5 linked regions of the Danio rerio genome follow. The protein of the gene in region 1 interacts with the protein of each later gene in a pairwise test. Links are inferred from orthologs where the notes say so. Each region holds a gene or a part of one and is shown in the gene's direction. Other genes may lie near its edges.

What was found.
Region 2: the proteins of kpna2 (region 1) and sertad3 interact in binary tests that used the Homo sapiens proteins (3 or more experiments, as listed by UniProt). The two-hybrid records come from large-scale screens. The link is inferred for Danio rerio from reciprocal best matches to the Homo sapiens genes KPNA2 and SERTAD3.
Region 3: the proteins of kpna2 (region 1) and nmnat1 interact in a two-hybrid assay, tested with the Homo sapiens proteins (3 studies listed by BioGRID and IntAct). The two-hybrid records come from large-scale screens. The link is inferred for Danio rerio from reciprocal best matches to the Homo sapiens genes KPNA2 and NMNAT1.
Region 4: the proteins of kpna2 (region 1) and nup50 interact in binary tests that used the Homo sapiens proteins (3 or more experiments, as listed by UniProt). The two-hybrid records come from large-scale screens. The link is inferred for Danio rerio from reciprocal best matches to the Homo sapiens genes KPNA2 and NUP50.
Region 5: the proteins of kpna2 (region 1) and necab2 interact in binary tests that used the Homo sapiens proteins (3 or more experiments, as listed by UniProt). The two-hybrid records come from large-scale screens. The link is inferred for Danio rerio from reciprocal best matches to the Homo sapiens genes KPNA2 and NECAB2.

Annotation. Positions count from the first base shown.
Region 1 is NC_133178.1:24,112,025-24,117,068, reverse strand, and holds the end of kpna2 (importin subunit alpha-1), read left to right. Parts: intron 1-927; coding exon 928-1,191; intron 1,192-1,278; coding exon 1,279-1,512; intron 1,513-1,600; coding exon 1,601-1,783; intron 1,784-2,551; coding exon 2,552-2,701; intron 2,702-2,927; coding exon 2,928-3,017; 3' UTR 3,018-3,170; downstream 3,171-5,044. Other genes in the region: E3 ubiquitin-protein ligase SMURF2, read left to right, coding at 3,719-3,770.
Region 2 is NC_133193.1:49,161,463-49,168,321, forward strand, and holds sertad3 (SERTA domain-containing protein 3), read left to right. Parts: upstream 1-2,267; 5' UTR 2,268-2,431; intron 2,432-4,818; 5' UTR 4,819-4,825; coding exon 4,826-5,560; 3' UTR 5,561-5,717; downstream 5,718-6,859.
Region 3 is NC_133198.1:32,505,489-32,512,362, reverse strand, and holds the start of nmnat1 (nicotinamide/nicotinic acid mononucleotide adenylyltransferase 1), read left to right. Parts: upstream 1-2,333; 5' UTR 2,334-2,373; intron 2,374-4,448; 5' UTR 4,449-4,465; coding exon 4,466-4,580; intron 4,581-4,667; coding exon 4,668-4,851; intron 4,852-6,294; coding exon 6,295-6,416; intron 6,417-6,874. Other genes in the region: protein LZIC, read right to left, coding at 1-50, 1,486-1,621, 1,689-1,789; nmnat1-rbp7a protein, read left to right, coding at 4,466-4,580, 4,668-4,851, 6,295-6,416.
Region 4 is NC_133179.1:71,998,503-72,004,769, forward strand, and holds part of nup50 (nuclear pore complex protein Nup50), read left to right. Parts: intron 1-3,216; coding exon 3,217-3,741; intron 3,742-6,267. UniProt on the Homo sapiens protein: Component of the nuclear pore complex that has a direct role in nuclear protein import. Actively displaces NLSs from importin-alpha, and facilitates disassembly of the importin-alpha:beta-cargo complex and importin recycling.
Region 5 is NC_133193.1:22,957,288-22,963,554, forward strand, and holds part of necab2 (N-terminal EF-hand calcium-binding protein 2), read left to right. Parts: intron 1-2,082; coding exon 2,083-2,207; intron 2,208-6,267. UniProt on the Homo sapiens protein: May act as a signaling scaffold protein that senses intracellular calcium.

The DNA of each region.
Region 1 (5,044 bases):
TTTTTGCGTATTGCTCTACATTTTGTGTGTATTAAGCAGTGTGTAAGCGAGGCGCACAACTAACGTGCTCTGCTGGACAATAGACCGGCTTTGTTCAGGTCTATAGAACCGACTATTATAGTTTCTCAAAATAGCAATGCACCTCAACACGCCATCTTTTTTTAGATCAGAACGCCTATGGGCGCACATATGATTGTAAAATAAAATAATTGTGTTTTTTTTTTTTTTTTTTTTTTTACAAATTTGATGACTACAAATTGCTAATTGCAACTTGTAACATTCTCCCTATAAATTTACATTTAGAAAACCTATTAATGTATTACATTTTTTTTTAATCCGTCTATAAGCTTCTACTGGTCCAGAACTCAGCTGCCCACATCATCACTAAACTCTTTTTCACCATATTACCCCCATTTTACAAAATCTGCACTGGCTTCCAATCCAACCTAGAGTCGATTATAAAATCGTCCTGCATACTTTTTAAGGCTATCCATAACCTCACACCAGCTTATTTGTCTGATCTCTTCCATATCATCACTCATTTCTGCTCCCTTAGATCCTTCTCCTCCATACACTCTGTTCCCTCTGCCAAAGCTATTTGGCTATTTGTATTTTATAATCTTCTCTTTTTTTTTTTTTTTTTTTTTTTTAAATATACTGTGGGTTTATTTTTAAATTATTGAATTGTGTATATTTGTTGTACAGTGATCATGGGTTCTTGAAAGGTGTATTGCATAAAACGTATTTAAAATTATTAGCTAAAAAAAATTAAAATAAAGGTTTTTACATGTATTATCTCTAAACCTCAAACAATGTTGTTTTTGGTGTTCAGGACTATTTGTTTTAAACTGTAGTGAGCATGCATTACCGCTAGATGGCGTGAAAGCTGTGTAGAATTACCCTGACCAGCCAGTTTTTCTTCTACAGGCTGGTTACCTGAGGAACGTCACATGGACCTTGTCAAACCTGTGCCGCAATAAGAACCCTGCACCACCTCTGGAGGCTGTGAAACAGATACTACCCACACTCATCTGCCTTCTGCAGCACAGTGACAAAGAAGTGCTTGCGGACACCTGCTGGGCCATCTCTTACCTGACCGACGGGCCCAATGATCGCATTGAGGTTGTGGTGAACGCCGGTGTGGTTCCTCGACTGGTGCAGCTACTGGCATCTGGGGAGCTGTCCATTGTGGTAAGTTGGTGGAAAGTAGTGAACTCTTGAGTTATACGTTTAAAATGGTAAATTTAATAATAACTTTTTTATTTTTTCCTGCCACAGACCCCCTCACTACGTTCTATTGGTAACATTGTCACTGGCACAGATGAACAAACGCAGGCTGTGCTGGAGGCTGGTGCTCTTCCCATGTTCCCAGCTCTGTTGCGCCACCAAAAGAGCAACATTCAGAAGGAGGCGTCCTGGACTCTCTCCAACATCACGGCTGGCAGAGACTATCAGATTCAGGAGGTCATCAATGCTGGCATTGTGCCGTACCTGGTGGAAGTTCTCAGACGAGTATGTCACCACATGAACACAATACAATACTTGTTCATGAAGTTAATTTATTTTCAACTTAATTTTTTCTCTCTCTTGCCTCATGCAGGGTGATTACAAGACCCAGAAGGAGGCTGTTTGGGCAGTGACCAATTATACCAGCGGGGGCACAGTAGAGCAAGTGGTTTACCTAGTTCAAGCCAACGTATTGGAGCCCTTGTTGAACCTGCTCTCCACTAAGGACAGCAAAACTATTCTGGTCATCTTAGATGCCATCACAAATATCTTTTTGGTATGAGTCAATTTTAAGTTGAGGGTAAATGAGTTTTATTGATCTTATTGAAACCAAGTATAGATGATTTTCATCTCGACTGCTACATCTCAAAATAAGGAGTGAATCAGATTTTATTAAATTTTTCTCTAAGAAGTTTGTCACATGTTGCCACTTGTGTGTTCAGTAGCTCTTCTGTCATGTGTGCATTTACAGACCAATTTATTTGCCCTCCTGTGAATTTTATTTATTTTTTAAAATATTTTCTAAGTGATGTTTAACAGACAAGGGCATATTTTTTATTTTTTAAATGCATCCTACTGAGGAAAAAATATAAAGGGAAGTCTTGTTTCTTTTAGTTTGACTGGAATAACAAAAAATACAATTAAACTGTTAACTGGTGAGGTTGATGTAATTGGCCCGACTACTCTAAATCTCTGGATGCTAATCTTGCAAAATGACTAGTGATAATGATGTTTTGTTCTGATATTTAGTTACAATATTATTTGGTATAATCCCCTCTGACCCACACACAGTTATGACTCACTTTGGCTTCGTTATTTCAGATTGACTGAAAGAACTGATTAATCCAATTTTCTAGTCGCATAAATTAAGGAAACATCACAAACTTTCTGTCTGTGCATTTAAAGTTTTACTTAGTAAATGCATTTACTTTGTAGTCTGAGCACATTATTTTTATTCCAATAGTCCATTAATGCAAATAGGTAGATCTGGAACATGACATTATTTTGTTGTTCCTCTGTTAATATAACTTTGTTTTGTTTTTAGGCTGGAGAGAAGATTGGTGAGGTTGAAAAGCTGTGTTTGATGATTGAGGAGTGTGGTGGCCTGGACAAAATCGAAGCTTTGCAGTCTCATGAAAATGAAATGGTTTACAAGGCCTCCCTCAACTTAATTGAAAAATATTTCTCTGGAGAGGTGGGTTGATCAAATTTTGAATCTCTAGTTGCGCATTATGCATTCTTTTTTTGTGTGTGTAGAGTTTTATCAGTCTGCATATTAAAACTCTGAATTATTATACATTCCACAGACGGGATGGGGGGGGGGGGGGGGGGGTAATCTCAACTTTGAAGTTTAGTTTTATCTTTTGCTTTTAATTCTTTCAAGAACTGCTTTTCCTAAATCCCTGATTTCTGTCTTGCAGGAGGAAGAGGATGAATGTGTCGCACCTGAAGCTACAGATGATGGTTATGCATTCCAGATCAACGAAAACCAAAGCACTTTCAACTTCTAAATGTCTGACCTGTGAAATACTTTTGTATGATTGTTCCGATCATTTCTGCACGCCACTTATCTTGTTCATGTTTGTCTCTGTTTGGACCTCGTGCTCCAAGTTGTACATATGAATCTGTCAGTTTTAATTGTTGCAAATAAACCAACCGAAAAAGAACCAAAGTTGTTTTCTTCTATATTCAAGACATGGACTAAATAAAATATGAATAAACAATAAAGAGGAAAGACTGATGTTAACCGCCAAGTGAAATAAGTGTATATCCTACAGCACTATGAATATCAAGTAGGTCTGATGTCACAGTCTGGGCGGTTTAAGCGGCTCCACAGACACCTTGCAAACCACATTTCCTCAAATCGGTCGCCCATAAGCGATACAACTTTTCCCTCAAGGTCTTGGAATGGCAGTAGACGCCGAAAGCTGTTTGTTCGTGGAAAATATGTTAAACTTCGGGAGGTCTCTGTAAGCGGATCTTTTGAGGGGACGTCGTGGATTTACTTTCACAGACGGTAGAAATACGAGGAGCGCGTTAAAGCGTGTGTATGTATGCAGACATGGCAGGGCTGTGCACATCCGGGCCACAGGACCGTGACTCCATTATTTTCTGTTCACTGTGAAACTGGCGTTGAGGGGAACCAAAAAGCAACTCTGTAACACATTCGACCCGTTTTTTGTAGTAGTCAGCCTGGATAAGGGTCAAGGACATGTCTAATCAAGGAGTTAGAAGGAATGGACCCGTTAAGTTGCGTTTAACAGGTAAGGAATATGCGACATCGTACAGTTTCATCTGAAACTGGCTAGCTGGCTAACAGCTATTGCTGTAAGTCATTGTAGTTTTCTGCCTTTTACCGTGAACCTTCGCTTTGAAGAGCTCTGCGAGTGTGTTTATTTGTCAGATTATATGTTTTGGGTTATGGTGATAGTATGACTGAAACTGGCGTTTTGTTGCAGCGTTGCGTTCTTTAGCAGGTTGGACAACGTCATAATGGAGCCTCAATGGAGCGCGAACGCAACAATTACATTTCTTTAGCTTCAATTGTTTACATTCTTTTGGTTGCGTTGTGATTATCGTTTAAATACGCGCAGCTGCTGATGTGGACGATTGGCTTCGCGAAGAATACGGCTTATTGGCATGAATTGAATTCTTAAGCTTGCTTTATGTAGCCCGTTGCCCCAAATGCAAAATGTAAGAAATCACGTTGCTTCAGTCACTGCAATGCTAATCTGCGAGTGTTTATCTCAATTGTGTTTGAAAATGTTTGCACCAATTAGTACTGTAGACTACACTAAATACTACTAACTAGTGAGAATGGATATTACACGTTGCTTTATTAGATGGAAGAGTGCGGCAGAACATGCGTTAATATAGTATTTACCATAGAAAAGTTACACTGTTAAATGTTTATATATATATATATATATATATATATATATATATATATATATATATATATATATATATATATGCATCTGTATGTATATTTGTTACAACAACTTAGCAATAACTATTAATAACAGTCTACTGATTAATGCATGCGTTTAAAGCACGAGTTTGGTTTTTTCAAATTTCATAGTTAACATATTTTTCAGTTGTTTAGTATTATAATTATCCACATGCTTTTATTCGTAATGTTCTTGAACAGACTTTAGCTATTGTCTAAAAGTATTAAAAATAAATGTAAAAATTCTTACATATTCATTATCTGAAACAAAAAAATTACTTGTTTTATAAATTATACAAATCTTCACAATATAGGCAAACTACTACTCGTATACACTTTATCAGTGTGATTTGACTAACAGTAGAAAGACATACTATGATTTATGTTTATGTTAGCTATATATATTTTACAAATATTTCTTTTGTTCACCTGCATGCTAAGTTTAACATGATTTGAAATGCTATTTTATCTGACTTAAATGATTTTATTTTAGCTACACTGAATGGCTGTTACTTTAAAAGATGAGCAATTTATGCAAACATAAAGTAAGTTGTGTTTCCTGTGAGCGCTGCTGTTTCCTGTTAACCT
Region 2 (6,859 bases), on another chromosome or scaffold:
GATAAATGTGCCTATTCGATCAATGTTAAGAACTTAATTTAAATGTTACTTTGTACTTGCAGAAAAGATGTTAGATCAAATGGATTTTGCCTTAAAAACAATCAATGAAAATCTGACATTTGCCTGATTTTAACCCTCTGTTTTTTAAATAAATATGTTAGTTTACAGAATTCCTCTTTTTTGTTGTTGTTTATGTTTGTTAGAATGTTGTATACAATGTATTTAAAGAGACAGTTCACCCAAAAATGAAACTGTTCACTGTTTTTTCATGTTGGTAAATGCAATAATTAACATTAACTAATGAACCTATTTGTAAAGTGTGACCCACTCGTTCAAAATCTATTTGAGTTTCTTCTCATTTCATTTCCTTTTCATCTGCTTTTCCGGGGCCGGGTTGCTGGGGCAGCAGTCTTAGGAGAGAACTCTAGACACTTCTTCCGCAGGGATTCCAAGTGTTCCAAGGCCAGCCGAGAGACAGAAGCTGCGTCCCAAATCGTACACTTATGCACTATTCTACGCCATTTTGTAGTATAAATAGTGTAAGTACTGCGTTCACACTGAAAACTCTAAAAATAATAAGTGAGGTGTGTAATGATGGACACTTCACATACTCAACGACCGCAGGTTTGCTCGCATAGCGGAAGGGGCGGAGTTATCGGACGGTTATGTTGGATAACTATTTATTTTGGATTGTGAAAGCAAAATTCTTCTACGAGAGTGATTATAGCGCCTCCCGATGGTGAATGCGGTTACACTCACGGCAGGTATTATTTGATAGTTTGAGCATTTAATTTACCGATTTGGCAACTGTCAAACATCATTAGGGAAACGGTTTGAATTTCCGCTTAGTAAAATAACATTAGTGTGCCATTTGGGACGACACTACATACATATACTTTCCTGTTGAGTGTTTAAGTGCATAAGTGCATAGTGTATAGTGTGCCATTTGAGATGCAGCTATAGTCCCTCTAGCGCAGGGGTGCCCAAACTTGATCCAGGAGGGCCGGTGTCCTGCAGATTTTATCTCCTACTTGCCTCAACACACCTGCAAGGATGTTTCTAGAAAACCTAGTAAGAGCTTGATTAGCTAGCCCAGGTGTGTTTGCTTGGGGTTGGAATTTAACTTAGCAGGAAACCGGCCCTCCAGAACTGAGTCTGGACACCCCTGCTCTAGCGTGTCCTGGGTCTTCCCTGAGGCTTCTTCCTGGTGGGACAGGCCTGGAACACATCCCTAGGCAGGCATTCAAAACAGATGCCCGAGCCCCTCCAGCTCTCTTCTCTCAATGTGGTGGAGCAGCGGCTTTACTCCGAGCTCCTCCTAGGTGACAGAGCTCCTCACCCCATCTATAAAAGTGCGCTCTGCCACCTTGCGAAGGAAACTCATTTCAGCTGCTTGTATCCGAGATCTTGTCCTGTGAGAGTAGGAACGCTGTATTGTCATAACACTGTATGGCAATGTTTCAGATGACTCCTCTAGAGCCTACAGCTAATCAATCTGTCAGATTCTGGAGTGCATTACAGCTCTAAAGAACATTATAAAGGATCTTAAACAAAACACATACAGTTATAGGTATGGTATATGATTATATAATTTCACTCACCTGGGAGATGGGCTCCATGTGAATGGTTTGTGAGCACAATAAAGTGCACAGCATGCCATATCTGATAATTGTAAGAAATAATTCTAAAAAGCCCATATCAAACACACCTGCCTGTAATTATCATGTCGTGTTCAGGTCCTAATTAATTGGTTCAGGTGTGTTTGATATGGGTAGCAGCTAAAATCTGCAGGAAGGTGGCATAAAACAGCACAAAAATACGATATATTTGATGAGTTCAGCAGCTAATCAGCTGGAATCAGCTAAGGTGAAGTGGCAGCGACCAGCGAGACCCAGCTGTCACTCAAGTTTCCTTAATTATGCAGACTTAATATAACTTAATATAAATGAAACGGATGAGTTTTAAAAATTCACTCCCTCACACAGTTGTCATGAAGGGTAATATAAGCTATATGAACCAAAATCGTTCTTTGTATCAGGCTATAAACATCTTTTTTTCTGCTGTAAAGTTGGCCATTTTAACACTGGGCTGAATAGAAATTTGCTCTATTATGGAGCCAGGACTAGCGGAATTTCGATGACTTGCAGCTTATACTTCCGTATTTGCTTCACGACGGAGAGCGGGAGGTTGTTGCTGGATGATGATGTCATTTTTGGATGAGCTGTCCCTTTAAAGCGTTCGAAAGCAGCACAACTACAATACCCAGCATTCCTGTTCGCGCGTGACGTCAGAACCGATTGAATCGCTGGCGGGACGAAAATTTTCTGCAAACGATTCCAGTCGACCGACACTTCAGCAGCGTTTTATGATTATGACAAAATAAGTTTATACGAGTTGCACCTTTTGTGGAGTTAGTGCCCGTGATTTGCAGGTGAGTAAGCAATGTCTTCGTTACAGGAAGATTGGATCATTTTGTCAAGATGCTAAGCTACAGTGCTGCCTTCTGCTTAAGCATAACGTTACCTTCTAAAAACTTGATTTTTTTGTCAATTTGTTGTGTGACTTTTGCAGCTGATCGCTCGTCTGGAAGACAGATATGCTGAAAATGCCTAAACTTAATTGTGATCACTAACATAAATGTGATACTCTGTTTTAAAATGATTATCGAGTTACATACAAGCCAAATATAACTTCACAAACGTTATTAATCGTAAACTAAATGATGTCCTACACATTTAGAGTTCGCAAAACAATGTCAAATTCTGTCTTTTCTATCAAAAGTTACTGTCTTACAGTAGGTAATTTAAATATCAAATATTATGTAACATAACCTCTTCACCTTCTGACTAAAAGATGACAAAACCTCGCCTCAACAATGCTCATATATACTTTATTTTGTAATTATATATGAATGTAACGCTAAACATTGTACACTTTTAAAACTGGATGAGTATTTTGTGTCTGTAAACCTATGTCCATATCTTTAGTATTTTTTGTGTATTTGTTGCGTTTATATACATATATTACAGATGTTATGTTTTATGATAGTTATGTTTGATGTGATTTCATGAATTAGATGTACGGTTAAATCAAAACCTAAATGATAATGACTGAAATAGTTCACGGTTGTGCAATCAATAAGGAAATGTCTTCATGACCATCTTCATTATGGAAAATGTACAAATTTCTATCGTAATTATAAATTAACAGAAGTAAAATAGTAAATGGACCCTTTTTTGTCTTTTGTTATTTAACTGAATTGTCAATGTAAATTAGAATAGTTTATTAATTAGATTAATTAAAGTTGGTTTTATATTTGCATATTCAGACTTTCTCCTTAATAATCTTATTTCAGAAAAGTATTCTTTGATAATTCACTAGCAGCCAATGACTATCAAAGCACAACATTGCTCAGAGTCAATTAAAGTGTCATGAAACCATAAAACACATTATTTGAGATGATGACAGATCTAATATATATATATATATGTATGTGTGTGTGTGTGTATATGTATATATTTGAAGAAGTCAGATGCAAAAACTTCTTAAGTGCCGTCTGAAATTTCCATCGAAAATTAAAAAAAAAAATTCAGCCTCCTTTGTTTATTTTATTTATTTTTATTTATTTATTTATTTATTTATCATCGTTATACAATGACTTGCATAATTACCCTAACTTGCCTAGTTAACCCAGTTAAGCCGTTAAATGTCACTTTAAGCTGAATACTAGTATCTTGAAAAATATCTAGCCAAATATTATTTACTTTCATCATGGCAAAGATAAAAGAAATTATTAGAAAGTTATTAGAAATTAGTTATTATTGTTTAGAAAAACAATTTCTGTTGAACAGAAATTGGGTTACACACACACACACACACACACACACACACATATATATATATATATATATATATATATATATATATATATATATATATATATATATATATATATATATTTTTTTTTTTTTTTTTTTGCATTGTTTAAAGCAAATTTGTGGTAATGTTTTTTTTTTGGAAGTCATGTGATTTTAGACTAAATATTCAAATTAGCACATAGTAAACAAATTTTCATGTGAATATAAAACCTTCTTTACCTTAGTTTCGAACAGTGGGTTTAAAACAGCTTCTTCTTTAAATAATTCTACTTTAAAAATCTCTATTATGCTAATTATTTCTGTTTATTTCCATTAATGACACATTTGCTGACGCATCAATTTCTTGCCTATGCTGAACTTGTACAGTTGAAGTTAGAATTACTAGCCCTCCTGAATTATTAGCCTCCCTGGTGTGTGTGTGTGTGTGTGTGTATATATATATATATATATATATATATATATATATATATATATATATATATATATATATATATATATATATATATATATATATATATAAAACCCAATTTCTGTTTAACAGAAATTGTTTTTCTAAACAATAATAACTAATGTCTAATAACTTTCTAATAATTTATTTTATTGTTGCCATGATGACAGTAAATAATATTTGGCTTGATATTTTTCAAGATACTAGTATTCAGCTTAAAGTGACATTTTAACTGGGTTAACTAGGCAAGTTAGGGTAATTATGCAAGTCATTGTATAACGATAATTTGTTCTGGAGACAATAGAAAACAAATATTGCTTAAGAGGGCTAATAATATTGCCCTTCTAGCCAAAATAAAACAAATAACTTTCATCGGAAGAAAAATTATTATCAGAAATACTATGAAAATTTTTTTGAGCTGAAACAAGAACTTTTGCTTTATTTCTTTTAACATTTTCTGCTTGTATTGATGTAAACTCTGTTGTGTTGCAGAGTGGAAATGGTGGCCAGAGGTCAGAAACGAAAGCTCTGCAGAGACGACGAGGGAGCAGGTTCAGCTTGGGAAAGTCAGCTGCAGTCTGTGCTGGACATTTCCATGGACAAATACCAGCGGGACCAGGCTCTGGTGGAGCCCAGCTTATTACGGTCAGTTCTGATCAACAACACCCTGCGGCAGGTTCAGTCTGAGGTCCGTGCACAGGTAGACTCACTCTCCCCTCTAAACCAATCACAGCCCAAGCCTCAAGATTTTCCTCAAATACTCTCTCCGGTTGACCGTAACGCATCTCTGTTCTCGCTGAATGCTGAAAACGTGGAGGAAGATATCACGGGCTGGACATCAGAGGAGGATTTCTCATTATCTTCTGCCATCTCTGCCATTCTCAAAGATCTAGACGCCATCATCGATGGACCGTCTCAACGTTCTCCACTCGGATCCATAGAGAATCTACCAGGGTGTTCAAGTTTGAGGGCTGAAAAATCATACTTCAGAACAGAGGCCACGTGTCCAGGTCAAGACGTGTCTTTGGATAAACTACTTATGGACATCGATTCATCCGTTTTTGAGCCTGAAGTGAATCTCCTGCAAGGCTTTTCTGATGATTTAGTGAAGTATCTACCATCCTTGTCCAAATCCCCATCAGCTTCTCCATCTGTGGTTTCTCCAGGTCAGGCCACATGGGAAATCCAGGAGATCGAGCATGTTATGGACTTCCTGATGCGGACGTATCCGTGAAGATGATTTTAATGATTGGTTGAGTTATTTAAATGGTTTTTACGGATGTCTTGGACATCTAGACATGTAAATGAAGATGGCTTGGCTAAAGCAATGCTAAATTTGGACTGCCAGTGAACATCTAATAGACATCCAAGAAAGGACCAAAACTAGACTAGTCATCAAATACACATTAAGCCTGATTTATACTTCTGCGTCAGGTGACCGGCGTGACCCACGGCGCATGCAACGTGCGTGGCTGGGCATTTATACTTCTGCGCGCTGTCTCTGTTGGTCTGCATTAACACTTCCGAAACGCTAGTTGGCAGTGAGGTGTAAATGTTCCTCTGTGTCAAGTTTCTTCGCTACTTTTTTGCATTTCCTGAACACTTCCGAGATGTACAAGTGGCTCAAACTCGCTCATTTTGAGGCAGGAACCGGCGGACGTGCAATAACTTTAACTATAAGGTAAACACAAAACAAAACTTTCCATCCGGAGCTCCTTCACGGGACTCCACACTTGTAAACAATCACTCGCGCGGCGTCGCGCCATTCGCGCGGCTCTCGTCCCGTCCAGACTCGTCAGCGCTACTAAGCCGACCAATCACAGAGCTTACGCTACGCGTCGTTGCGACGTGTAGTTACATTTTTTGAGAGGTGCACGTCAGCGATGGCCACGGCGAAGGGCTATGCGTCAGCGCCGTAGCATACACCGGCGTTAGACGCAGAAGTATAAATCAGCCTTTAGACAGACAACTCATATGTAGTCGTTCATTTTTTGTATTTGATGATTAGTCTAGATTTGGGCTTTTCTTCGATGTCTATTAGATGTTCACTGACAGCCTTATGTTTTACCAAAGCTGTCTATTAGACATTTATAAAAGCTTGCTGGGTGACCAGTTGCTCCTCAACAATTCCTTCTGCTTTTAAAAGAAGCCCTTTTGTTTTTAAAAACAGTCTAATAGACGTCTAAATATAGACAGCTTCATTAAAGCAAGGCTAAATTTGAGCTGCCAGTGAACATCTAATAGACATCCAAGAAAAGACCAAATCAAGACTAGTCATCAAATACAAAAAAATAAAAGACTACATATGTGAAGTCCGTCTAATCTGTCTATTTGATGACTAGTCTAGTTTTGGTCTATAATTAGATGTCTATTAGATGTTCACAGACGGTTTAAATTTAGCCTTGTTTTAGGCAAGCCCTTTACATTTAGACATCTATTAAACATCTATTAGATGTATTTTGAAAACAAAAGGGCTTCTTTAAAAAGCACAAGGGCTTGTTGAGGAGTAACTGGTCACCTAGCAAGCAATTTT
Region 3 (6,874 bases), on another chromosome or scaffold:
CGAATAACTTCAGGAGTCTTGAACGCCTGACTGATGGCAGCTTGGATCGCCTAAGAAAAATTTACTTCGACATTAAACAATCACAGGTTGTTCTGTGTGAAATAGAGTTAGATTTTTTGACCCTAGGGTTTACCCATTTGTCAGCAAGACGTTGTTAAGCATGTAACTAAAGTTTAGTATGATCACTTTTCTGTTATACATTTGAATAATGAACAAAACAAGTATGTTAAACTAGGGCTGAGCCTATAAAGCATATTTTATCGAATCACGATAAAATGTACGTCAATAACAATGATAAGCTCTGCACTTTTTTACTCTATAATGATCTAAGAGCCAATCACTGCAGAAATGTGCAACAATGGGAATCGAAAAGTGTGTTGATATTAGAGATGTACTGAATTTTTTGGCCACTGAAAATTTATTGGCCGAAAATATATTATGCCATTTAAGGGACCCAGTCATTTTTGTGGCTTCAATCATTTTTAATTATTCGGTTTATTAACAACTTATATCGAAATATACATCGTCATCATTCAATATGTAAAATAATTATCGAGATTGCATTTTTGCCATATGGCCCAGCCCTCTGTTAAACTAATGAACGTTACACTAAATGATGATGAAACCTTATTTCATACATATTTTAACATTTTTATATAAGAAAGCTGAACCATTAGACTAGACACTTCCTATGTGTATTGAATTAATTGTACATTTAACAATGTGGACGCCTCATCTTTAACCCAAACACTTTGATTTATAATGTATAATAATAATTGATAATTCTATAACATGTAAATTAATATTATGTTAAACAGAATGTTCACCCAGAAATGGAAATTCTGTCATTATTTGCTTCACCTCCACTCATTTCAAGCTTGTTTGAGCTTCTTTCTACTTTAAAAAAACACATACTCACATAAAATTTGTATTTTTTTTAAATTATAGAAAAACTGGTGGCCATTGACATCCATATTCTTATTAATATATACAGTATTTTACAGTATTTAAAAAAGATATATTATTTTTCTTTTGTTTATACTACGGATCTCAATGGTTAGAGTTTTCTAAAAAGGTAAAGTTGGTTTTATATTTACTTATTCAGACATTCCCCTTAATAATATAGTTTCAGAAAATAATTATTTGCAAATTCTAAATTGGGAAATGACATCAACAGCAAATGACTTATTAAAGTACAACATGATTTACAGTCAGTTAAATAGTGCTAATGTAGTTTTAAAGTTAAAGTTACATGTGATTTTTCTCACTGAATATTCAAAGGAATGCGGTAAACAATATAGATAGCATTAAAATGAATGAATGTGTGAAAATAAAACCAACTTTACCTCAATAAGGTTTTCAACATTCTTCAAAATATTTTCTTTTGTGTAAACTCTTTAATGTCTAGAACCACTTGAGGGTAAGCAAACTTTTATTGTTTTGGTGAACTATCTCTTTAATACAATTCAATGTACTTTTTCTTACCAGCTGCATTCCTCCTAATTCATCAACTAGTGTCATATTCCCAGACATCAGCTTCTTGAGTGAGTCATTGAACTCGCTCAGCTGTTCTAGTGTCTCTTTTTTGGTTTCTTCATATTCCTCCTCTTCAAGATCCTCTCTGCAATGAAAAATGATCATAATCTTGTAATATTTTGTTATTGAAAGAGCTGGTGAGATGTGTTTACCTGCACTCCTCTAAATCCTGGAGCTGCTGCATTAACCGGTCCAGCTGTTCCTCCATGTTTTGTCTCAGTTTGCTTGTTTCTGATTTCCCTCTAGAAGCCATTCTTTAAAAAAAAAATTAAAATAATCCAAAATTATATTTTCAGCAATCTCTAAGGTTATTCATACAGAACATGGTCACCTTATAGTGTTGCTACTGTATCTGTGAATGTCACACCTGTCATGTCTGATATGATCAGAAATAGTGTCTACTGTTGGTCATGTGAAGTTAAATATTGTTATTGGTTTACTATCAGTGATTAAAACCCCATTCTGTAGACAGTGAGTGCTTTATTCTCTCTGACTGCGCAGTTAGCTTAGCTTGCACTCACATATAAACAAACCAATGCACGAACTTAAGAATCCTAAACGAAAAGGTTTTAGCTTAATAAAATAGTATCTCTCACCTGTATCTTATTTAATTAATAAAACTCCCAATGTTAAAGATAAAATTACAATTGCTATGTTCCTAAGTCCAGTTTGCTAAGGTGTGGCTTGCTATTGATCTTCAATAGAAAGCCTATGGTCGGTCTGCGTAAACTCTGCGCAGAGTTGACGATTACGAACACAACGAAAGCGTAGGACTTGCGTATGATGTGCGCACGCGCATTGATCATTTGTCCAACACTTGCAGCTGTCCTGAGAAGGGTAATGTTTGTATACCGTACAGTCTATGTTGTTTCATAGACAGTAAAAATGTGTTGTGTATATATAGTGCTGACAACCACACATTTATCAGGTTTTCTGTTTCTTTACTAACGTTACATTTCGCGGCATTTGTTATCATAAATTTGGGGAAGTTTTTTCACTCTGCTCAATGGAAAGCACGAGACTGATGTATTGATTTGGTAGTAAGTAAACACGTTTAGTCCTGCTTATATAACACATTATTGCGCACAATTGTGCATTTATTTTTAATATCATTCTTTAGCCCAGTTGATTAAATAGGTTAATTGATCGTAAACTAATTACTCACTACATAGAATTTACTGTGTAGGAATGTCCTTCCTGTTCCCTCCTTCCTTGTTCCCTGTTTTCTATAGTATAGTCATTAACTATAGTAAAATACCTCCTCTTACTTTCTTTTGAAACAGGAAGAACTTTAGAGAGTTAGCTCAGATTTTTCTTTATGGAAAGATTTGGTGATTTCGTAGCATTATGAATTTCCTCAGGAACAAACTTAATTTTTTTATTTATTTTTATAAATGACAAGTTTTTGTGTGTGTGTGTGTGTGTGTGTGTGTGTGTGTGTGTGTGTGTGTGTGTGTGTGTGTGTGTGTGTGTGTGTGTGTGTGTGGTGTATATAATTATAGTCAGTGTTAGGGAAAGTTACTTTTGAAAGTAATGTCTTGCATTACTCACCAAATTGTAATTAATTGTGTTACTTTTTATGGTAAGTAATGCCATACATTACTTTGGCGTTACTTTTTTTTAATAGCATCTTTTTCAGAATTTGCAGGTTTTTTCTTTCTTTTTTCTTTTTTATTAGAGGAGCTCTGCATTTAACAGCGCACTATAACCTTCATTTACCTTTAAAAAAAATAATAGTTTAGCATAATGTTATCTTCTGAGAACTTCCAATATATGTGCCGTATATACAGATTATTGAAAGTATAAAGCAAATATTTTCTCATTGAGTGCATGATAATTAAACTAAAAGTAACTCAATTATAACTTTTTTTATGTAGAGCATCTTTTAAGTAATAACTTGTTATTTGAAAAAGTAATATTATTATGCAAATCACATTATTTGTTACCCCAACACTGATTATATTAATATTATTAGAATGTCTGAATCACATTAAACATCACATAAAAGCAATTTCATATGTCAAGAAAGTGTCCGCTTTGATATTTCAAATAACTTTTGTAAAAATTAGTAGATTTTGAAGAAATAATGTTTTATGGGCATTTAGTGAAACAGATATATTTATACTGAAATAAAATTGCAAACGTATTCTGACCCGTATTTATCCAAATATGACTAAAGAGCATGTGACCGTTTAACATTTTATTATTAATTATTTATTATAAAATCTTTGACTTTTTAACCTTTTTATTTCTTTTTATAAGAGGAAATGGAAATTTCCTAATGTAAAGAAAAATCGAAACAGCGAATGCCCTTCCAGCTGCAACCCAGTACTGGGAAACATCCATACACTCTCATTTACACACATACAATATGGCCAGTTTAGTTTATTCAGTTCACCTATAGCGCAAGACATGCGGTAAGCTAAATTGTCTGTAGTGTATGTGTGTGAATGAGTGTGCATAAGTGTTTACAAGTGATGGGTCGCAGCTAGAAGGGCATCCGCTGTGTAAAACATATGCTGGATAAGTTGGTGGTTCATTCCACTGTGACGACCCAGGTTAATGAAGGGAATAAGCCGAAAAGAAAATGAATGAATGAAGATTTCTACAGTGGTATATATTAATAAATAATTTATTTGATTAATCTGTGATTTATTCTTCGAAACAGTAATAATAAAAAACTATTTATTAATAATAATATAGAATAATATACATAGAATAATAAAAATATTTATATATATATATAATTAAAAGCTTTTTTGCTGACCTAGTTATGTGAAGGACAGTCAAATTGTAAAATAACAATTACTTTTCATCATTTTGAAATCTATGCTACAAATTCCTGTCTTCAAAAATAAAATGCCTAGTTGCGCTTTAATTGTCTTGATTTATTTTATCTTCTATTCCGACAGCATCTTTCTCATGATCGATGGCATCACAAGAGAAAATCAAGCTGGTTCTGCTGGCATGTGGCTCCTTCAACCCCATCACAAATATGCATCTGCGAATGTTCGAACTGGCTCGCGATCACCTTGAGGACACTGGTAAATCTCTGGACACACGCTTGCTTTTGTTATCAATTAAAACCTGCATATTACACATGCATAACTTCAGATTTCTTGCTGTCTCAGGAAGATACAAAGTGGTGAAAGGCATAATCTCTCCAGTTGGAGATGGCTATAAAAAGAAAGGCCTGATTGAAGCCTGTCATCGCTTGGAGATGGCTAGACTGGCCACGGAGAGCTCTGAATGGATCACGGTGGATGACTGGGAGAGTCAACAGCCTGAGTGGGTGGAGACGGCCAAAGTTGTTCGGTGAGAATCTCTTCAGATCATGTGCTTTCAGATCAGAACATTTCACTTTTGTTGAAGGGAAAGATAAATGTCACACCCTTCGAGTTTTGCATCTGTTGTTGTGCTTTGAGTCTTTGCATGAGTTCAGTGTCCCATCTGATAGTGTGTTAACTTGTGTGGATGGACGTCATCTTTGATATTCTACTGCGTCAAAATGATTGTTTTGATGTTGATATTAAAATCTGACACTGCAGGCAAAAACACTGTCTTCATGCACCTGTTTTGCCCTTTTTGGCTTTTTTATTAAGTTTTATTTCTCTATTTTAAGTGTTTAATGGAAAGAAAAGATCTGAAACATCTAAGTGATTCTTTTATTGCACTTATTTATTATTATTATTATTATTTATTACACATATTCTGACTGTATATTTATAATGTAATGTCCAACTTTACAGTCGAGAATTAAATCAGCTAAGTTTTATTCATGTTCATATTTATTTATTCATTTAAATCCATTTATTTCTTTACAGTGGTATATATTCATAAATAGTTTGCTTGATTAATCTGTGGTTTATTCTGCAAAAATAAGTGACACTTTTTAAAAAATCTGTTTGTTTGAGGTATTTTCTGAATTGTAGAGTGATATAGATTACCTAAATACCATTGGCATGTAAATTCTTTTGACTGTAATATGTCAAATAAATTAAACAAGTCTGAACCTGACTTCATCCAGTATTATTTCTTTATGCTAAAATGAATGGAAATTAGTGCATATTTAATGAATATCTCATTTGCATATCTAAATACAACATTTCAAAAACCTAGATTTTAGTCAATCAATTCTGGAAGCAGGGTGGTAAATATGTTACGTAAGTTTTCACCCTATTGACCTGCAGTTTTCTCTAAGTTATAAACTTTACGTTCTATACATATTCACAATTTAAAGTTTTTTTTTTTTTACAAAAAAGAAATTCATGAATAGTTTAATTTATTTACAAATTAATTTGGTAAAAAAAATCTTGTTTGCAGAATGTTTTGTATAATGAAGTGATGTAGATGCTCAAAATCCCATTGTAAAATTATTTACTCTAATATAGCAAAATTAAACAAGAACTTTGCACCTGACTGCACATAACCCACCTAACCTAACCTGCCTAGTTAACCTAATTAACCTAGTTGAGCCTTTAAATGTTACTTTAAGCTATATAGAAGTGTCTTGAAAAATTTCTAGTAAAATATTTTTTACTCTCATCATGGCAAAGATAAAATAAATCAGTTATTAGAAATTAAAACTATTATGTTTAGAAATGTGTTGAAAAAACTTCTCTCTATTAAAGAGAAGTTGGGAAACATAAACAGATGGGCTAATAATTCTGACTTCAATTGTATACGTAAGTTAATTATTTTCATTTTCACCTGCAGTGTCTTGCCTTAAATCTGATAATTGTATGTCTTTTTTGTTAGGCATCATCATGCAGTTCTTTCCAGCGAGAATAGCAGCAACGGTGATAATGTGGATACTGGGAAGTATAGGAAGAGGAGAAAGATGGAGAAAAAGAGCCCTTCTTGTATGAACCCAAAAGCAGGTATAGTAAATTATCCTTCATAGTACAAAAGACCAATAGACTTTAAAATATGTTTACTTTCGAAATGTCGCTTTGTTAGAAGACCTGACGACAGCCAATAAAATGAATGGCTGATGTGCCCTAAGGACAGGAGAGAAACAGGGTGCAGCGAGATTTTTATGCGTGTTTACAGTATTGCACCTCTAAGCACTGTCTGACAGCATTCCTCTGGACTTGGAACAAAAGAGGTCTAGTAACTGAGAATCGAAACAACACATGAAGTGAAATAGGTCAAATGTTTTTTGGGACTTGGTTTTTTGTTCTGCAGTGAGCACCAGTCTTCACTGCAATAATTGGCCCTAAGTAAAAAGAAATTTACATTTGAGTCATTATTATTAGAATTTATAATATATTGCATATTAAATATAGGATGATTTACAATGTTACTTTTGTGCATATACATTAGATCAGTCAGTACT
Region 4 (6,267 bases), on another chromosome or scaffold:
AAGCCCCCCACCCTCCATTTATTTATATATATATATATTTATATTATTTATATATATATATATATATATATATATATATATATATATATATATATATATATATATATATATATATATATATATATATATACATATATATATATATAATTATTATTATACAATTAATATTCTAAATAAATAACAGAAATGTGTCCTAAATGTAACTGGAACACAAAGACACAACAGGAGCGATGTATTAAGATAATTTGAGAAGTCTTTTGCAAGAATATTAATTTAATTCGACAATTCCATAAGATACAAAAAATATGTTTTATAGAATTATCTGTGGGCTGCACGGTAGCGCAGTGAGTAGCACTGTCGGCTTACAGCAAGAAGGTTGCTGGTTCGAGCTACGGCTTGGTCAGTTGATGTTTCTGTGTGGAGTTTGCATGTTCTATTCGTGTTGGCGTGGGTTTTCTCTGGGAGCTCCGGTTTTCCCCACAATCCAAAAACTATAGGTGAATTGATTAATTAAATTGGCCATAGCATATAAAGGGAAGGGCATCCGCTGTGTAAAACATGCTGGATAAGTTGGCGGTTCATTGCGCTGTGGCGACCCCTGATTAATAAAGGGACTAAGTCGAAAAGAAAATAAATAAATGAATGAATGAGAATTATATGTTGTCTTTTTAGACCTGAATTTATCTTGTATAAATCATTAGGCATGTTTTAGGCCTAATACCTGCCTGACTCTTCATCCTTCTTTTCTGCTTCATAGCATGTTTAGTTAAAATAAGATCAGCATCATATTGTTTTAATTTTTGTTTTGTCCAGTTGCAAAACTTACACGGGTTTCACAATGCATAATCGCTGCGTATTTTTTCGAGGTGTCCCAGAGTTGCAAAAACTTCTAAGTGTTTGGAATGTACACTTGCTTTATTAAAATGAAAGAATGTCCAAGACAAAGCTAATAAGTGTCTTATGAGTATATGTACACTAGCAGTGGAATTTACTGGAATTCACCTGAAATCTTGCCTAGGGCTCCAAATTGGTTAGGGCTGGGCCTAATCATGATCATGCTGGATAATCGTGTGTGCTCGCCTGTTTTAACACACTGCAGCAAAGCAATCATTTTAATGGAAGAAGATGTCAGTCTCACTGAAAAGAATTGATGAAGAGAATAGACAGTTCAAAGTTGAATGAACAGATAAGTATGTGTTTATTTTGCCCTAAGCCAGCTCGAATCAGTAACCTTCTTGCTGTGAGGCCATTGTGCTACCCACTGCGCCACCGTGCTGCATCTTATGGATGTTTATTAAAAACAAGTTATGTAATATCAATTGTTTAATTTCTTTGCTTTGACCTTAATAAAAAAAATTCAGATTTAGAACTTTTAATGTAGACATTGAGAACCCCTGTTTCAGGCTATCATTAACAGATAGACCCAGATCAAGAGCCTAGAAATCTGCACTGGACTATTTTTTCAGTCTGATTCCCACTGGGTTTTATTTTGCACCCAATCGCCCCCACTATTTAATCACTCTTTCTTTATTTAAAACAAAATCTTTCTGACTGTTAATTCCCTGTTAAGACAGTGGTGAAGCCGAATGGTCTCCCTTTGCTGAACCTTTTATGTTCTGTGCTGATCTGGGTCAGTTGGCATGAGTATGGTTTCATTTTCCACACTGGGGCTGATAACAGTTCTCTGTTATTTGATGTTTAATGTTAATAAAAATGCATTTTTGCCTTGGTAATGCAAGCGTATTTTAAACAAGAAATGTGAAAAAGTGGCATTAGAATAATGTCAATCGTGTGAGTCTTGTAAAATAATAAAAATTCGACATATATCCTCCTATTTTTATTTTAATTTGAAGCAAGCTAACAAAAAATACAAGTCATTTTGTAAAAATGTACAAAAAGTTTAAATTCTTCATTTAACAGTTTAATTGTTAATAGAAAAATATATTTGATTTATTATTATTGTTATTTTACATACGTGGTACCATGGCTCAATGCTTAGCACTGTTGCCGCACAGGGACTGGAGTCAGGAGTGTTTCTGTGTGGAGTTTGCATGTTCTCCGTGTGTTGGTGTGGGTTTCCTCCGGGTGCTTCGGTTTCCCTCACAGTCCAAACACATGCGCTATAGGGGAATTTAATTTACTAAAATGGCCGGGGTGTGTGAGTGTGAATGAGAGTGAATGGGTGAATGGTGGAAGGGCATCCACTGCGTAAAACATATGCTGGACTAGTTGGCAGTTCGTTCCGCTGTGGCAACCCCTGATAAATAAGGGACTAAGCCAAAAGAAAAAATAATAAATGAGTTTTAAGACTGTCTGGACTCGGCCGGACTCGGATGTTAAGGACTCGGACTTAAGTCCGACTCGACCCCTTTTGGACTCAGACTCGGACTTGTACTCGACTGGTTAAGGACTTGGTCTCGACTTGGACTCGACAAAGGTGGACTCGACCCCAACTCTAATATTTAGGAAGCAGCCCTTCTCATCACAGTAATTTGTTGTGTATTAGTACAGAAAACTACACTTAATTATCCATGAAGTAAGGGGTAAAGTACATTCAGGCGGTTGTTGACCGTTAACGAACACCTGACAATGCAACAGCTTCACACAAATGTATCGCATGTTCTTGCATTAATTAAAAGTTGAGCGTTTTAAAAATCGTATGTTGTATGCGTGACTGCAGTGCGCTGTGATTTGGCCTCATCTGCGCATTTGCGCTGTATCTCCTTCACTCGCCATGCTGAAACCCACAGAAACTCCCCACACACACACAGACACATGAGGAAATGTGATGTCAGCAACTGATTTACATACTTGGAGGTGATTGGAGAGGTCTTCGCATGTGCAATGCATGAGAAAGTGTACATGCATTCTAGCAGCACACTCCATTTCCGCATTACTGGATCTGTAGCGACAACAGACCGCAAGGGATGATGGTCAAGCATGGGCTGATGGGAATTGTAGTTTTCGCTACCTCCCGTTCGCTTCATTCGCCTGAGCAAATTTTCTCAGAAGACCTATAGTTTTACCGAGTCATGCGACTTCGGTAATATCGAAAAAATTAATATTGCGGTATGACGGTATTTACAATACCGTTACATCCCTATGAACTATAGATCACAGGACGCACCGAATTGTGAGAGGACGACGAGACAATACGTTTTTTTTACCAAGAGCCATTGCATCCCTAATTATGTATCTCCCTCTCTTCATGCACAGGTCCTTTAACATTCAGCAGCTCCACCCCCTCCAAGCCCACAGACGGTGAGGTCACCTCCAACGGCTCCGCCCCCAGCAGTAAAGAGTACAACCGGCAGCTCACAGCGCTGAACTGCTCGGTGCGCGACTGGATCACCAAACACGTCAACGACAACCCGCTGTGCGACCTCAACCCCATCTTCCGGGACTACGAGCGTCACCTGGCCAGCATCGAGAGGAAATACGGCAGCGGGGCGGCAGACGAAACACCAGGGAAGCCGCTGGCATCCTGTGCTGCGGCTCCGCAGACCGTCTCCCTCAAAAACAAGGACGACAAGCCTCCAGCAGAAAAGCCAGCAGCTCCTCCGGGAGTCTCCTTTAATTTCGGAAAGAAGGTGGACAGCTCGGTGCTCGGGGCGCTGTCGTCAGGTGGAGCGCCGTCGTTTTCCTTCTCCTCTTCGTCTTCTTCTTCTGCTGTGTTTGGCTCAGCCGTCAGTAGCGTCAGTAGTCCTGTGGTCAACTCGGACAGCAACAGCCAGACTGCAGGTACACGCTTGCTTTGCTTTGATGGCTAGAGCTGCGCAGTATGACTAGTTGAAGTCAGTATTGTTAAGCCGCCTGTCTAATTCAGTTCTTTAATTATTTCCCAGCGCACTTGTAAATGTATTGTTTTTTATAACTCATTTTGTTGTCATAATCACGACAGCACTTAATATTACAAGATACTAGTATTCAGCTTCGTGCAATTTAAAGGCTTCACTGGGGTAATTAGCCAAGTCGTTGGTTTACAGTGGTTTGTTCTGAAGACAATTCAGAAAATCTGTTATTTAAGGGATGATTAAACCTTGATTAATTAATCACTTTAGCTCGATTAGTTATTGAAGGATTTTAGCTGCGTCCCAAATCGCATACTTGCGCACTGTTCTACGCCATTTTGTAGTATAAATAGTGTAAGTAGTGCGTTCACATTGAAAACCCGGATGATGCTCTCATTCAGCCGCTAAAATAAAGTGTGTATAGCCCTTTTTCTTGGAACGCAAAATTACCCATTATGCTTTGCGTGTATGCTGCGCAAGGAGAATGCGAAGAACTTCCGGTCGGCAGCTGATGCGTGTAAACAGTCACATTTGCACAGCTTTGAAACGAGTTTTAATCTATGTTACCTGCTTTTATCCTCTTTGAACTAATACTGTTGTCCATCAGCAGCATCTCCGGGACTGATCATTTAAAGAAATGCGATCTAATAGGATGGAAAACAGCTGCTGTGAGGCGTTTTCCCCTGGTTGTCAGACGGCATCTTCTGCAGTTTAAATGAAGCCTCGTCATCGCTAAAGTCAACGTTTTCTCTTTATTTTAAATATATAACCAGCCCAAACTAATGTAATTCACCAAAATGTTTGACACACACACGTAGCCTGTACTGTGCCACTGACACACTGATTTAATAACTGTGACAAAGTGAAAATATAGGCTAGTGTCATTTCGAAATGAAAGAAAAACACAAACCGTGGTGAAAACAACACACAAAATAAAACACAAACGGCTCGCGATTAGAATGAACAGCAAATCAGCAGCAGAGGATCAATAACAGACTTTTATTGCTCATTTTTGTAAATTGCTCGACTTTCATACCTGTTAGGTTTCATGCCAGTACTCTGGTTTGCTCTCTCTCTCTCTCTCTCTCTCTGTGTGTGTGTATTGAAGAGCCGCTGAGCTAACAGCTGACAGGCCGGGAACGCACACACACACTATATTTCTGACGGCAGACACGTGAACTAGGAGAATGTTTTTCTCGTATTTCTGACGCGCTTGAACCACGTGACAGATTATAACGGCTTTAACAGACACATTTCTAAGTTGTGCGTCACAAAAACACTCTGCTATCTATAAAAACGTCATTAGCCGCGTTTCCACTATCGCGCCTAAAGCGAGCGAGCCAAGGCAAGTGGGGTTTCCACTGTCACTTCCAGGGCCTAATCGGGCCAAAGCGGGGCTTTCTTGGGGCCAGCGGCCGGCCTTTTTCGGCCCTCCGAATACCTTGGGCCAAGGAGGGCCAGCTGGGGCTTCGGGGCGGAGTGAAAGGAGAGGCGGGCAGTTTTCTGATCGCACATGAGTACATGCGCCAAACAAATAAAGAAATAAGGGAAAGAAAACATCTAGCCTTATAGTCTGGGGTCTTTTTGCGTATGATCACCCTTATGTTTCCCTTTTAAATGTAAGGCTGCTGCATACAATAATAAAGTAGTTTTAATTTATAGTGACGTTTTTTGCTGCGTCCTCCTTTATGTTTCAATAACGCATAATAATATTTACACCATATTAAACACACAGCAGACAGTAAAGGTTTTCCAGAGTTTTTGTCAAGTTTAAAATGTTTGTTTGTGCATGTTTAGACATGTATGTGTGTGTACGACCGGGCAAGAGCGCTCCTTCACAGCTCTGTTATGCGCGAGCAGCTTTTTTCTTTATTTATTCTGGAGATAATACACAATATAAATACAACAGAAAGACATTAAACTTAACAAATCACGTGCCCACTTTTGTAGACTTTAAACAATATAGTGTCATATCTTGATAAAATAGCCTATATTGAAATATAATTTAAAAAATTACAAATATCGGATAAATATAAAATCACATTAAATAAATTAACCAATATAAAATAAATAAAAGCTAGCTATAACAATGTAGGTAGCCTATATACAATACATAAATCAAATCGTTTTAAAGCCACATATAGCCTAACTTTCATTTTGCAAAGACCTGTCTGAAAAAAAAAAAGATTTTCGATATTTTCTAAAAACTAATCACCGGATAAAGTTTGAAATATTTAAATAAAGTAAATATTTATATAAGTAAATATTTATAAAGTATTTGGATACGATGATATTAATCAAATCGCGCAAACAGAGCATTATTTGGGTGAGTGAAAGCAGAATCTAGCCTATACCTTTGTTTCTGTCACTCAGTCCTGCGCAGCGCAGCTTTAAACGCATCGGGGGAAAGTCCAAACACAAAATGTGTTCTATATCCTCAAACAACTGTTTTTGTTTTTATATGACGTGGTTAAAT
Region 5 (6,267 bases), on another chromosome or scaffold:
TCTCCTGCTTTAGTGGCGTGTCCAGCTGGTTATAAACGAGGAGGCGGAGAGAATCCGCTGCTTAGTTTCGGCTCGATATATTTAAATAAAAACTAACAACGAGTTGCTTATAATGCTCAAAAAGTTAAACTCAAATGCACAACCCTTGTTGGTTGCACCTGCGGGATGCACAATGAACCTAACGCGCCATAATTTTAATTCTATATTTGTGAAGAATGAGCCAACCGCATATGCTTAGTCCTGTTGGTCGGGACTCTGCTTTATAACTTATTAGTTTATTACAATAATCACACTTAGCTTTGCCATTGTTCTTCACAACATAGCCACTCAGCACATCTTGCGGTCCATCTTTAATGTTTAGATTATTTAAGGTGCTATTGACGTTTTGAGAAAAAAATTAATAGTACTGAAACTAAATTATTAAAAATAAACTTGCGGGACTTCATTTATGTCCTGCGGCAACATTATTTTTATTACACTTTAAGTGATCTGCTTGAGGTAGGTCACGTTTATCAATGGTAAGTTTTAGCCTAAGTTTACATCAATAACATAATGCAATAACATAATGTGCATTGTCCTTTACCATACAAAAAAAAAAAAAAACATTATTATACACCAGTTGCCTGTAGCCTATAAAAAGGCCGCAAATATTTTTAAATGCAATAAAAGGCAAGCACATATCTTAGCCTTAGTTTGTTCACACTCTGCCTGTATTAACATAAATGCTGTATTTTAATATAGCCAATTTTGATTAATTAGCTTTAACTGACAGCTTTTTCTTCTTTTTCCGCGGTTATGCGGCATTATATTTCACACGCATATGCAAGGTGACTGAATATGAAATTAAAATACAAAACATACTGAGCCATTAAGTAAAAAAACAAAACAAAACAACAGTTATACTTTAAAGCAGAACATTGACGTTTTGAAACAAAAAAACGGAACTGAAACTAAATTATTAAAAATAAACCTGCCAGACTTAATTTATGTCCTATTTTCATTATTCATTTATTTTCATTATTCGTTTATTATTATGTACTATAATTGAAACATAAAATGAGATCGTAAATATAATCAACAACGAAAATGTAAATAAAAACGTAAATTAAAAATATAAATGAACATGTCTAGTCTTAGTTCTATCAAAATAGCAAACACTACATCTCTCTATATTTAGAATAAAAGACTGCTTTATTTATTTATTTATTTATTTATTTATTTATTTATTTATTTAAGACTAATTATTTGTACTGAATGTTTGTGCTTTCATTTTAGTTGTCATTCATTTCTTCAATTCTATTTTCCAAAACGAATCCTCTTTGCACTTAATAAGTTTACAATAAACCAGGTAAAAAAAAATTTAATGTAAGTTGAGGTGATCGCAAGTTCACAACTGTGAGGTGATGTGCTCTACCGGCAGGATAATCTATATTATTTTGCTGTTTTTCATATGCGCACGTTTAAGATTTGAGATTATAACATTGCCATGATAGTCAAAGAAATCAAAACATTATTTTCACCATAACGCAATTTAATCGGGCACTGAAGGCTAATAACTTAATTCTTATATCTGCTTTTTGACTTCTCACCATGTATCTTTTCTACAGCATAGGATAGTGTAAGAGCATGTCTATTACCAGAAAAACTAAATTAAAATTATATTTTAATTGAACACATCACATCACATACAGTAAGCTACGCCTACAGAACAGTCTGTTTAGCATTGTGAAAAGGCAAAGCTGAATATCTGTGGTTAAAGTGCCACCCAGCGGTCAAATGCTGCTGGCGCATCAAGTACCGCCGTCGCCGCGGCATGAATGGCGGCACAAGGAACACATTGAAGTAGTAACATCTGTACATCTTGCACCTTATTGCATCGGGTGTATGATAGGGCTCATTGACTTCCATAGTATTTTTGCTTCTACATGTCAATGGTTGCTTTCCCCCAAAAATTTTTAATAAAATAAAAAAAAATCATAAATGTTTTATAACCACTTGAGTGTGAGTAAATGGTGAGGGAAAATTTGAAATATTCTTTAACCATCTGTATTCCTTGTCCTTGTTTTCCCTGTTATGACCTAGATCTTACCCCAGTAAGACCAGCCCACGCGTCCCAGATCGACGCTATGAGGCACCGGTGCCAGATTATCCTCCCAACAACAGAGTCAGTGCAAAGGAGAGCATGAGGAACATCAACACAGGTGCAGGTGAGGGGATTACATGTCTCCAAACACCTCCTTTTGAAAACAAAACACACTATTAGTTGTTTACAAAAGGCATAATTTAGGTTTATTTTCTTACTTGGATTTTTAGTCTTGTTTCTAGTCTAAAAATTCAAAAATTCTTAAATTAAGAAACATTTTCTAGACAAGCAAAAGTTATTATCTTGTTTTAAGAAATATTATGTCAACATTAAGTGAGTTTTTTCCTAAAACACATAAAATAATCTGCCAGTGGAGCAAGCAAAATAAACTTATGTCAAAAGAAAAAACAAGATCATTTTGCTTGTTTTTAATTCTAGAAAATGCTTCTTGACTGAAAGGCATTTTTGCAGTGCAGTTCCAAAAATAATGCATACGGTGTGAGTTTTTAAGCATCACATAATACACACCAGACTTTAATGGCTTATATAGGAGGTGAAAAACACGGTAATTTCATTCAAAGGCCTGAAAGGAGCAAAAAAAATGCTGATATTTATATGGTAAGCTTAAAAAGAAAGCTGGACTTATGATAGCTTGTAATGTAAATCAATAAGATCCTTTTAACATTATAGAAGACTACTTAGATAAAATGCATCTAAATATCAGTTGTCGCTCAATGTCTACCAAATAATACATCTTAGTAAGATGATACAGTATTTAAATGCTTAGCTTTACCATCAAAGCTCTGTATTATTTATTGTGGAGACACATGTAATGTAATGCAAAATGGGTATAAGTTACCTTTTACAGTATATCTGGAAAACAAAATAAAATATATGTTACCTAAATGAATGGGATGAAAAACAGTATGTGTATGACTTGGGACAGCAAAGCTTTGACAATTGTGAAGCCTTAAATACATGCAGATATGTAACAGTAGGTATTATATGGTTAAAGGTACAATAATGTATTTAACATATTCACAAGTCTAACACTTAATTTTAAGTTTAATATAAAGTTGAAGTTATTAGAAATTATTAGCCTTTTGAGTTTTTAAATTTGTTTTTTAATATTTCCCAAATTATGTTTATCAGATGAAGGAAATTTTCACAGTATGTCTAATAATATTTTTTCTTCTGGTGAAAGTCTTATTTGTTTTATTTTGGCTAGAATAAAAGCAAGTTATTAATTTTTTAAACAACATTTTAAGGACAAAATTATTAGCCCCTTTAAGCTATTTTTTTTTGATAGTCTACAGAACAAACCATCATTATACAATAATTTGTCTAATTACCTTAATCTGCCTTCTTAACCTAATTAACATAGTTTAGGCTTTAAATGTCACTTGAAGCTGTATAGAAGTGTCTTGAAAAATATCTAGTGACATATTATTTACTGTCATCATGGCAAAGATAAAATAAGTGAGTTATTAAAACTATTATGTTTAGAAATATGTTGAAAAAAATCTCTCCGTTAAACAGAGATTGGGGAAAAAATAAACATGGGGGCTAATAATTCAGGGGGGCTAATAATTCTGACTTCAATTGTGTATAAAGCATTATATATTAGGAAAACTAAAGCAACACATCTCTTTACATGATCTTCCATTAATATAAAAACTATTTACTAAAGTAATTGGGCTATTAGAAAAAAAATCTTTAGTGTTTAGTTCTCTGTAAGTCTAAAACATCATATATAATGGTCTTAAAAGGGTTTAAAAGTCTTAAATTTGACTTAATTAACCTACAGAAACCTTGTGTCAGGCAAGATTGCTAATCACTGAACCATCATGCTGCATTTACCTAAGTTATTTTACTATCAATCAAAAGTTATTGAATACACTGAAAATCTCAGAAAAAAATCTTTTAGAGAAAGTCATTGTTCTGCTGTCAGTGTCTGTTGTGAAAAAGCACATGGATTAGTATGTTTTAGTAAAATTGGCACATGGATTAGGCCTGATTTTAGCCACACTTACAATTTTTTCTTGCAGTCTTGTACTCGAGCTTTACTCAAGGACTTGTTTAATGCTGTTTTTGGAGTGTTTGCTTTATTGCTTCTATTCATCATGAGCTGTGTTTTTCCAAACATTACATTAATCAATTCAGCAAGGTTCTTGTTTGTGGTCCAGGCTTGCTAGCCAACTGCATTATCACACAAAACATCTGCATTTATCATTCCTCACACCATCTAATTGCTGAAGGCACAGTTAAAGTTTGTCAAAGATGTGGTTCGCCGGCTCTCCCGTGGGCTTTCTCTATCAACACACTCCACATTTCCATTACTGATGAGATTTGTGCCTGAGCTGCAGTGTGTTGGTTATGAAACCACTCTGAAGAGACAGTAAAACAACGCAAAGCCATTCGTGTGCCAAGTCAGCACAAACCACAAGCTCACGACAGTCTCATATGGATGATGCAACTGAAGAAATGTGTGAGTTTTTAATGAGGAGATGGTGGAAAAAAGGTCTCCCTCAAAGCTTTCCAGTGTTTCAGTCAGTAACTGGGCGCCCAGAGATATGGGAGCAAATTAATTCTAGTGCTTTTCTTTTTCTTCTGTTTCACAGAGAAAGGGAGTATATGATTATATTTGAAATGTCCATCTCACTTTCCACTTCCTCTAAGTTCTAATAGAATAGTCAGCCACTCAGTTTTTTTTTTTTTTTTTTATCAGATCAGCCAGGCAATTCAGGCATTTTTGCAGATTCAAACACTTGGATTTATTTGGAGTTGTAGCTGTCTGATGTCAGGCTTGCTTTACCTGGTATTAAAGGGATTATTCACCCAAAAATGAAAAGTCTGTCTTCATTTAGTCTCCCTTGGCTTGTCCCAAACCAATTCAAGATTTTTGTTCTGTTAAACAAAAATTAAGATACAATTGTCCCTTGTTAATCGCAGGAGTTTTGTTGTAAAAATTGCCCGCAATAGGTGAAATCCACAAAGTAATCCGCTTTTTTTCAATTATTATAGATGTTTTAAAGCTGTAAAACCCTTTACAACACTATTTTCTCAGATAGACCTTAACATTTTCACACTTTTCTCTTGTTTTAACACTCTTCAACTTCTACCTTCTCTCAGCATGTCCAGAAGAACTTTTTGTACAATGGTTAGTATCTTCCTCAGCCTTTTAGCTGTTGCCGCAGGTGCCTTTGACATAGCAGAATGTTTTGTCAACATTATGGAGGTTGTTGGGGAGAAAACATACAGTACAGCACTTCAGAGTCACACTGCTAGCGATCAAATATTTATGTAAATTTGGCAAGCTAAAAGCATTCTGTACTGTACAAGAGACACGACATGGATGGATTGATTGGCAATGGTCTACAGCCGATCAAGATGCAAAACACAATGTGCTAATCTTGACGCAGAACACAATGGACTGTAAAAAAAGCATGTCAAATTGCACTAAAAAATCAGCGAAACTGCAAGTGCGAAAGGTAAATCGTGTTATGGCGAGGGACCACTGTATATCTGTATATATGAAGAATGTTGGAAACCAGTAACCATTAACATCGACTGGAGAAAAAAAACAAATCCTAGGGAAGTAAAGGGTTACAGTTTTCCAAGATTGTTCAGTATATATTATTCTGTGTTCAACTAAGCAAAACAAACTCAGAAAAAATTGAGAGCTCCCTCATCCTCCATATACAGCAATGCTCCAGAGACATTCAAAGTCGAGAAAAGGAACCAGAAACAGGTGACTTTTGTGATCCAAATCTAATTATATGAAGCTTCAATAACACTTTTGTGCGCGAATAAATTTTTCTCTTTATGATTTATTTTTGTCTTTGTTTTGTCGGTATAATGTATTGTATGTATGTTTCATTGTGTTCGATAATTTACGAATGTAAAATGTTAAAAACAGTAGATTACTGGCAGCCACAGCTGCCGGTATTTTTCCGTAAAATCAAAAAAATAAGTAAATAAAAAAATAAAACAGCAAAACGTTTTTTGTTTCACCATTGTGAAGGATAATAGCATCTGTGTTCAAGTCCAAGATAAACTGAGAGTAATTGATGTTATGCTGCATCTTCTTTTGTTTAAAGGTAACTATGTAGTAACCTATGCAGTGAATATCTGTTTGTTAATTGCAATCACACATAAACACATTAATGCGTCTAATGACTTTA